2 linked regions of the Mus musculus genome follow. The protein of the gene in region 1 interacts with the protein of each later gene in a pairwise test. Links are inferred from orthologs where the notes say so. Each region holds a gene or a part of one and is shown in the gene's direction. Other genes may lie near its edges.

Evidence for each region.
Region 2: the proteins of Zc3h10 (region 1) and Nfya interact in binary tests that used the Homo sapiens proteins (3 or more experiments, as listed by UniProt). The two-hybrid records come from large-scale screens. The link is inferred for Mus musculus from reciprocal best matches to the Homo sapiens genes ZC3H10 and NFYA.

Annotation. Positions count from the first base shown.
Region 1 is NC_000076.6:128,544,944-128,549,524, reverse strand, and holds the start of Zc3h10 (zinc finger CCCH domain-containing protein 10), read left to right. Parts: upstream 1-1,778; 5' UTR 1,779-1,831; exon of another isoform or gene 1,832-2,354; intron 2,355-2,633; 5' UTR 2,634-2,697; intron 2,698-3,986; 5' UTR 3,987-4,038; coding exon 4,039-4,581. Other genes in the region: Rpl41 (60S ribosomal protein L41), read left to right, coding at 565-576, 845-867, 1,096-1,138. UniProt on the Homo sapiens protein: Specific regulator of miRNA biogenesis. Binds, via the C3H1-type zinc finger domains, to the binding motif 5'-GCAGCGC-3' on microRNA pri-MIR143 and negatively regulates the processing to mature microRNA.
Region 2 is NC_000083.6:48,406,781-48,411,226, reverse strand, and holds the start of Nfya (nuclear transcription factor Y subunit alpha), read left to right. Parts: upstream 1-1,406; 5' UTR 1,407-1,601; intron 1,602-4,446. Other genes in the region: ADP-ribose glycohydrolase OARD1, read right to left, coding at 323-361. UniProt on the Homo sapiens protein: Component of the sequence-specific heterotrimeric transcription factor (NF-Y) which specifically recognizes a 5'-CCAAT-3' box motif found in the promoters of its target genes.

The DNA of each region.
Region 1 (4,581 bases):
AAAAAAAGATCCATCTGCCTCCCAGGAGTTGGTAATAAAGGCGTGCGTCATCAAGCCAGGGCAAAACTAGTAATTTTTACTACAAGCCACACCTATTAATAGTAGTAAATGGAAGTGTTTACCAAGAAACTACAACTCCCATGAAGCAACGAGGGAGAAGACGGAGTGGTTTTTTTTTTTTTTTCCCCGCCTATTTTTTCTCAGTCCCATACTGGAAACAGGTGCTGGTGTTGAAATAATACAATATCCTTAAAATAGACGGAAAGGTGGGGCTTGATAACACGCACTCTAGTAAGGCAGCCGGAAGTCGCTGTCTCGAGCAGCCCCGCCCTAAGGGACGACACACGGGCCGGCTCGGAAGTGACGACACCGAGCACGCCATTAAATAGCAGTAGGCCTCCCTCTCCGCCCTCTCGGTCTTAGCGCCATCTTCCTTGGTTAGTCGCGGGGTTTTCTGGCGTTCGGGTTTCCAGTGCAATCCGTTAACATCCGACCTCCACATTCACTATCATCACAGCGGGCTAACGGCATTTTTCCCTCTTTCTCTCTAGAGACTCCTGCGCCATGAGAGCGAAGGTGAGCGGCTCTTAGGTGGTGAATCGGGCACCTAGTCCCCGCCATGGTTCCTCTGCGGGCTTCCAGACGGTTTGCCTCGGGTGTTCGCAGTCAGGGAGAGGCTTAAAATTCTTGCTGAAGAAAAGATGGGGTGGGAAAATGAGGGATTCGGCTCTAAAACTGAACCGGTGTCCTTTGTCAAGCCCTGTGTTCTGAGCAGTTTCATGGCCTTGCACAAGCCTGTCTCTAACATTCTTTTTTGTCTCCTCACATGATCGGGTTTTTTTAGTGGCGGAAGAAGAGAATGCGCAGGTACGTTTAATTTTTCAAGACTACCTTGGGGCAGTGGGGGCAAGCTCGGTGTGGGATATTTGGTTGGAAGAAAATATCTGGCGGGAAGGAAGCAGGAGTCGCCGCCCAGTACAGCAGAGCTGGTGCTTGTTAATCTCATCGTCTCTTGTACTCGTGCACTAAGTGTACGTATTGATAGATGTGCAAAGGAAAAAAAAAAAACTCAGGTTTGTGTGCCTTCCATTCCAGGCTGAAGCGCAAGAGAAGAAAGATGAGGCAGAGGTCCAAGTAAGCCAGCCCGTGCACCTACGACGCCTGCAGGAGCAGAAGTGAGGGATGCTGAGGGCCGGGACAAGCTATCGGACTGTGTGCTGCCATCGGTAATGAGTCTCAGTAGACCTGGAACGTCACCTCGCCGCGATCGCCTGGAGAAATGACCGCCTTTCTTACAACCAAAACAGTCCCTCTGCCCTGGACCCCCGGCACTCTGGACTAGCTCTGTTCTCTTGTGGCCAAGTGTAGCTCGTGTACAATAAACCCTCTTGCAGTCAGCTGAAGAATCAAACTGCTGTTACGTGTTTTTTTGCGGTTCCTTGGGGTGGGGACTCGAGTGTGTTTCTGTATAGGCGACATAGTTTGGGTGTTTGATCTGGCTGGAGCCGGTTGAGTGTGCGCCCGAGGTTAAGTTACAGAGTTGGTGCGTTCACAGCGCCACTCCTACGTTTTGGGGGTACCACTGCGTAGAACCTGACGCTGAGCGGAGTTCCGGGTCCGGCGGAGTCCTGTTACCATGGTGATGCGCAAGGCTTGTTGGGAGCTTCCTGCGCCTACTAGCACGCAAGTTGGACCATAGAGTGTGTTTCCGGGTCTGGTAGCTAGAGCGTCTCTTTCTTCCGCAGGAAGCGGAAGAACCGTAGGGTGGGCGGCTCTTTGTCGAAGCTAGAGGACCGGCAGGCGGCAGCAGCAACTACGGCGGCGGCGGCAGGTGAGGGAGGCGGGAGACTTAGGTGGAGGCCGCGCCCGGAGGGGAGGAGTCGGGGATGGCCCAGCGACTGGGTTCTGCCCGGCCACACGAGCCTCCCCCAAACCCCCCGGAACCGACCTGGCTCTTCCTCGTTACCCAGGACAGAGCCCCTTTTCTCACTGACCTCGCTTCCCAAGCAAACGCCAGCCCCGTGACGTCACAGCCCTGCCCATCCCTCCGCCTGATGTCACCCCGAGCCCCCCTCCCCTTTCACTTCCTCAGTGTCCCAGTCACCTGGTCCACCGCTGAGTGCTGGCACCGCATCGCGGAGCCGGCCAAGCCAGAAGACTTCCAGGGAAACTCGTAGGACTTTTCGTGAACTCTAGGGTGTTGGGGGATGGTCGTAATCACCGCCCCCGAGTCTAGTCTCGCCTTCCCACTGACACTAGTCAGTTGTTGCCCTTGTCCAGCTTTCAGGTTTGGCTGGCGTTCCGAACTCCAACCCTAGATCGGATTCTGAACCCCATATCCTTCTCATCTTGAGGTAAAGCTCCGCTAACCTTCCTCACCAGGAACTGTTTTGTTTTTTAGTTCAGCTTCCCAATTTTTATTGGTCGGTTCTAGCCCTTATCCTTCTTAATAGGGACTTCTCCTTGTGATAGGTGACGTTCACTTTGACCTCTTAAGGGAGCCTAAAAGCCACAAAGCTCTTAGCTTTTTGTCAGAATTCATTCCAGTGTATGAAAACCACATCATATCCCTTTCACGTTTTTCCCTTGTTCTACTCAAATCTCCGTTTTTTGTTTTTTTGTTTCTTGTTCAGAACCCAGCAGTGATGTGGAGGTGGAGACTCACGGGAGCCCCGGACTTCACCTGAGCTACCTCAGGTATTAATTCTGGGATATTGGGGTGAGGAAGGCTATCATATCCAGTTATCTGCTTCTAGTGGGACTTGAAACATTGGTCAGGCTTTGAAGGCATTTAGTCTTCACCTGATCGTCATTTATGATCTTTTAAGGGCTTGTTTCTTACCAGTTGTTTCTTATATTCTGGGGCTCCTTTTCCCATCTTGTGTATTCCTGTGCATCTCTGACTTCTAATCTGGTTAGTTATTCTAGCAAAGTCAAGGAAGTCAAGGAAACGGGAAATCAAGAAAGGTATCTTTATTCCCAAACGGAAACTAGGAACTTCTCTTATTTGAACAGTAGGGGGAGCCTGAGTCCTACTCAGGGAACATTTAAAAGATTAGACACGTGGTAGCAGGGACTCCCAGTCTTAGACTCCCAGGGTTAGAGAGAAGGGAGGGCTAGAATTAGGGCAGTGGACTGACATTCCAGAGCTCTCTTGAGAAACAGGAGACTTAAAAAGCTTTTATAGAGTCTATAAATAAAGAGGATTTTTATGGGGTAAGGAGTGCTATGGTTTGATATCAGTGGGATTTTCATGGAGTGGGGTGGGGAATGGGGAAAGAAAGGTCACCGTTCCTATGAAAGTAACTCCTTTCCACCTTGTCCTTCGAACAGTTCGTCCTGGGGATCTAAAAGTAGAAAGTTCAGCTCAGAACGTCTTTCCATGAAATGAGGGTGTTTGTGTGTGGAACACACTGGGAGATGGACAGGTTTCAGGGTTACCCTGTAGCTAGTGACACCAGTTTTGTTTTGTTTTGTTTTGTTTAACCAGGGATTTCTAAAATACATGGAGACTTGAGCTGAGTTTACGTAGAAGAGGGATTAAGGGAAGTTCTGTTTCTGGTGTTCCTTCTTCCATGAGTTCTCAAAGCTAAGCAGCCCGTGTTAGAGCACTCTTTCCAGTGTCAGTCTGTTCACACACCAACACCTGTTTTAGTTTCTCCCTCACAACTTAAATGAGAGAAGGTAAAAATCTAACACTCTCCCCTTCCCTCCCCCTCCTTGGCTGAGCATCATTAGTAAGATGAAGTGGCTTCATCCCAGCTCTCTCCCTCCTGTGTTAGCCAGGCAAGTGTGAATCACTCCAAACAAGACCAGGTGCATAAGGGCCTGGGCGGGACTTCTGGCAAGTCAGCCGGGCTAGCTAGAATTCTCCTTGGATTCTCCATCTCCCAAAGCCATTGCCCCAGAAGCCTGCCCACTGTATGGTCAGGAGAGAGGGAGCTTTCCGGAGGACCCCTTTCTGACACAGTTCTCTTTTTTAACAGTCGCCAAGAGTGGCAAGAAAAGGAAGAAGACCCTGACTTGGGGGGGACCAGGATGCCTGACCGGGACAGCTATGCCAACGGCACTGGCAGCAGCGGTGGAGGCCCTGGAGGTGGTGGCAGTGAGGAGGCCAGTGGGGCAGGGACAGGCAGCGGGGGAGCCACCTCAGATGCCATCTGTAGAGACTTCCTGAGGAACGTCTGCAAACGAGGCAAGCGATGTCGATACCGCCACCCAGACATGAGTGAGGTATCCAATTTGGGGGTAAGCAAAAATGAATTTATCTTCTGCCATGACTTCCAAAACAAGGAGTGTAGCCGCCCCAACTGTCGTTTCATCCACGGCTCCAAGGAGGATGAGGATGGCTATAAGAAGACAGGAGAGCTGCCTCCCCGGCTGAGGCAGAAAGTGGCCGCTGGGCTGGGTCTCTCACCCGCCGACCTACCCAATGGTAAGGAGGAGGTCCCCATCTGCCGCGACTTCCTCAAAGGTGACTGTCAGAGAGGAGCCAAGTGCAAGTTTCGTCACCTGCAAAGGGATTTTGAGTTTGATGCTCGCGGTGGAGGAGGCACTGGAGGTGGAGGCTCCACAGGCTCT
Region 2 (4,446 bases), on another chromosome or scaffold:
AGAAAACTATTTCTCCTTTCAGATCTTCAACAGAGCCCCACCCCCACTGCTTCAACCCTGCTTCTCTGACACTCTGAATTAAAGACAACTCTTCCCAACTTAGGAGTTAACCACGATATTTTAAAGTATCTGTAAAAGGAAAGTGATGGATGGTTATTATCTGCCTAGGGTTGTATTAGCCTTTTCTAAGTAAATCAGCTAGAGAGAAACAAACAGGGAGGGGCGAGAATCCAATTATTGGTTTAATTAAAAAGTGTTTATGCTTTTGACCTCAATTATTCTGATTTTCACTTCACCGATAAATTTAATAGCTGTTACGCACTCGACTTCCTTCTGGATCTTCATTAAGGCGGGTGGCCATGCTACTGAGTCGCTATTTCCAGAATTTAAGAGTTCCTTCTGCTAATGAAAAGGAAAAGCAAGTAAAAAAATACCGCTCAGGCAGCCCGAACATAGCGTGTTCAGATCACCCTGACAACCCATTTAGTCTTCCCCACCTCCTTAAGGTATTCTTTCTGGATGTGAGCTCACTCAGCCTCTAAGAGGCAACACAAAACAGCTTTCCAGGAGCCGAAGCAAAGGCGGTCCTAAGACACACCTCCTTACTTCTAGCAGGGAAGGTTTAGGACAGTCCAGAATTTTCCCAGAGAATATAGCTTAGAACGGGAAAGACCTGGCCACAGTTACACTGAGCGGCAGGGTGAGCCGAGAACTGCTTCTCAGGGGAAGATCACCACCAGTCTTGGAGGTACAGGAAGGAAGGTCTGATAAGACTTCCCCGTCTCTCCTCCTACCCTAAGGAGGGCAACCCTGGGATCCCGCAGAAAAGTGGGTACTGGGGGGTCATCCTTCACCTGCAAAGGAATCGGCCGTCAGCAGGCCCTCCTCCAAGCAGGGAAGGGTTCGGGATGAAACCCTCGTAGGTAGGAAAGCAACAGAAGAGTCCCGACACGCAACAAATCCCGCCAAAGCCTTTTGATTGTACGCACACTCAAGATGGCCGCCCCCATCCCTTAACGGGGCGGAAGTGAGCCTCTCTAGCTGGGTAGCGGCGCCCGCTCTCGGTAGTAAGGGCTTCAGAATTTCCGGCGGGAAATTCCGTAGGCTCCCGCTACCGCTCAGGCATGCGTACCGAGATGCCGACCCCGACTGGAGAAGAAGAGCGCTTGCGCATTCGGCCCCAGAGGGTGGGTCCCAGTGGACGCTTAGAAATAGGTGGGCAGGGGGGCGTGTCAGCGCCTGCGTGGTATATAATTCAGGGAGGTGTTTAAGCAGCAGCGTACGGAGCGTGTGAAAGGCGCCTGCGTAGGCCTTTGGCGGGAGGCGGTGTCAAATCCAGGAAGTGGGTGTGGCCTCTGGAACGCCTGCGCGGTGCTCTTCCTAGGGGGCGGGGCCAGGCTGGCCGGGGTTATGGGGCGTGGTCTCGAAGGCGCTTGCGCGAAGGCGGTTGGAGGGAGGCCCGATTCCCCTTTGTTCAGATTCGCCATTTTGCGAGGCAGCGGCAGTGGCGGCGGCAGCGGCGGCTGGAGCCTCTGATTGGGTTTCGGGGTCCGGTACTGGAGCCAATCAGCGCGGGCAGCGAACCGGGGGAGCGAGGCACGGTGAGTATGAGGAGCCAATATCCAGCGGCCCAGAGCCGGCCCCAGCGCCCCGATTGGCGGGTCTCGCTGACCACTCAGGAGAGGCCCAGGCGTCCGTCGAGCCCGGGAGTCGAGCCGAGGCTGCCCGAGCTGGGTAGCCAGTAGCCCCGGCTCGGAGTTGGTGGAGGCCTGCAGGGGCCGTCCAGCGTTGGGACGGCGTCCTGGAGCCAGGCTTTTCGGGATCTGGATCGTCTCCGGGGGCCGGTGGCGGATGCGCCACCGGTCCCCGATCCTCGGTCCCGAGAGGTCAGGTGGCTGACCGCCCAGCCACGGACCGTGGCGGTTTCCCCACGTCGTTCCAGCCTCATCCTACGGCCTGTCCTTGTGTGTCCCCACATTCCGGGCCCCGACGAGGCCCGTGTGTCCTGAGCTCTGCACAGTTGGGGCTACAGATCCGGAGCGAGGCCAGACTGAGACGCGCGGCGCGGCCTCCCAAGACCCACCCCGGGGCCGTTGGCGCGCCTGCCGCGCCCCTCCTCTCGGCCCGCCACCGGGGCTCCCGGGCCGGCGCCGTTACCACCCCTTTCTGGCTCGTCATTTCCTCCCCGCTCAGCCCGCGGTGCCGGCACACCTCCGTGCTGGAGCCCAACCAAGCACTCTTCCTCTTTTTGCTCAGTGTCTCGGTGTTTGAAACGCCGCTGTTGCAGAACTGATAACCCTTGTGCATCCTTAATGATTGGGGGCACACATCTCGCAGTTCCTATTATCCCTGTCTCCTCCCTTGATCTTTTCTCCCTTGGATGCTCTCTGGTTTTGTTTTCCTTTAATCTCTCCACTCAATAGCTCGGCCCACTCGTGTCTCTTTTTTCTAATACACCTTGAAATCCCGCGCGAACGTTTTCTCAACTGATGTTTTAAAACTTACACGTGCTTAGATTTTCTTTCCCCCTTCGGGGGACAGGAAGTCTTCCAAGGACTGCTAGCTATTAGTCTTTGGCGGACGTCACCCAAGTGCTGCAAGCGAGTAGGGCTAGGAGCTATGTCTGCTCGGTGGAGATTGACTGGTGTTAGTGTTTCATAGGGATCTGATCCAGTACCCAGAAGTGCACTTTACATGAGGAAGCCTATTTTCAGCGCCACGCTTTTGATTGGTGATGGAGGGTGATGTCCTCAGAGAGGAAAGACTGAAAAGAGTAACTGGAACAGATAGTGCGGTTGGACGCAGAAAGGCCGGGAGTACTGAGTTTAGGCGGGAAAGTCCAGTTGGTAAAAACCTTTGCAGGTCTTACAAAGGAATTTTTTGAAAACGGTTTTGACTGGAGGTTAAAAGTTAATCTAGAGTGGATTTCTCCCCTAACCTTGGGGGTGAAGGTTGCTGACCTGAGGATTCTACCCCATAGTCTTGTATTTGGACTGGGTGTTCTAACTTTGATTGGTATTTAAAAAAAAAAAATGGATGCATATGTCCACCTCAAAACTGCCAAATGTTTTTGTGGACAAAAGGCAGTTCTCCTCAGTCACTGTGACTCAGACCTGTGGAGCCTCCACTGGTTCCTCTGCATCTGCACTTTAAGAAAAAGTAGTGCAGACTCTCGATTTCTCTAATCTAATCACAGCCCAGGCATCTCCCTTTGTTTGAAATACTTCACCCTATACTACCTTCATCTGGGTGAGATCTCAGACTTAAACCTAACTCACATGACACCCTTTCCCAGTGCTTTCCTTGGTTTGTCCCCAGTGGAAAAGCCTCTGTCCCCCAAACTCCATTTACTGTATTTCCCTTTAGGAGTCTAATACACATTTTTGTTCCTTTTTAGACTTAAAAGCCTCTTTGAAGTTAACTTGTTTTGTTATTTAGTTCATGCTATCTCCTTAGTGGAGACAAGGAGCACACTGGAGCCTTCAAAGGCCCTAGCTGGGTGTGTGTGTGTGATGCCAGGTCAGATGGACTGCGGTGATCAGATGCTTATTGTAGGAGCATTTCTGGGCATTTCAGCTTTTGAAGATTCTAAGTGCTGGCCAGCTACTTCTGTGCCATGTAAATGGGCAGGAAATGCTATGGAAGAGAATGTCTCAGAGGCCAGAATAAACCCATTCTCATTCCTATTCATTCATATTCTCACTTTCAAAAACACATTCACAAGTCTGTAGAAGAGCTAGACAGACTAAATCCAGCTGGCTCAATTCTGTCATAAACTTGGGCACAGAAAGCGTAAGGAAAGGAAGTGTGTCAGGTTGTGTCACAGTTCTGCTGGCTGAGTTGATGGAGGAAGGAGCATATGGCCGCACTGGAGCCAAGAAGTCGGCACCATGGGCAACCTGAGGGTTGTGCTCCAAGCGCCACCACTCCCTTATCAATGCAGAATGGCTGCTGGGTTTGAAGCTGCCTCCAAAGCCCAGTAGGTTTCAATGGCCTAAGAGTGGAGCATTTGTATCAGCAAGATAACTGAGTCAACTCCAAATGTTCCTTACAGCTATTCCAGCCCTCTTGCCCACTTCAGGCTCCATTCTGCATTTAATCTGAGACGATGCAGACTTAGGACATTTAGCCAAGAAGAAAGTTTTATAGGAAAGCGTCTTGGGGCTAGTGGAAGCGGTAAAATACAGAGGTTGTTAATATCTTAAAAAAAAAAACTTTAAAATCTAATCCTTGTATATCTGTATTTTGGTGAGTTTTTAAAGCTCTCCACACCTGTACAGTCCCACTTGAAAAAAAGGGTGAGAACTTTGGTCATCCCCAAAATGGTCGTAGAGCTAGCTCATCTATTCAGTCTCTCCCACCTCCTTCCCTCAGGCTCAAGGAACTCCAGTTTGCTTTCTGTCTAGGCTTCTGATGTCAGAGTTTCTTATCATGGGGCCATGCTTG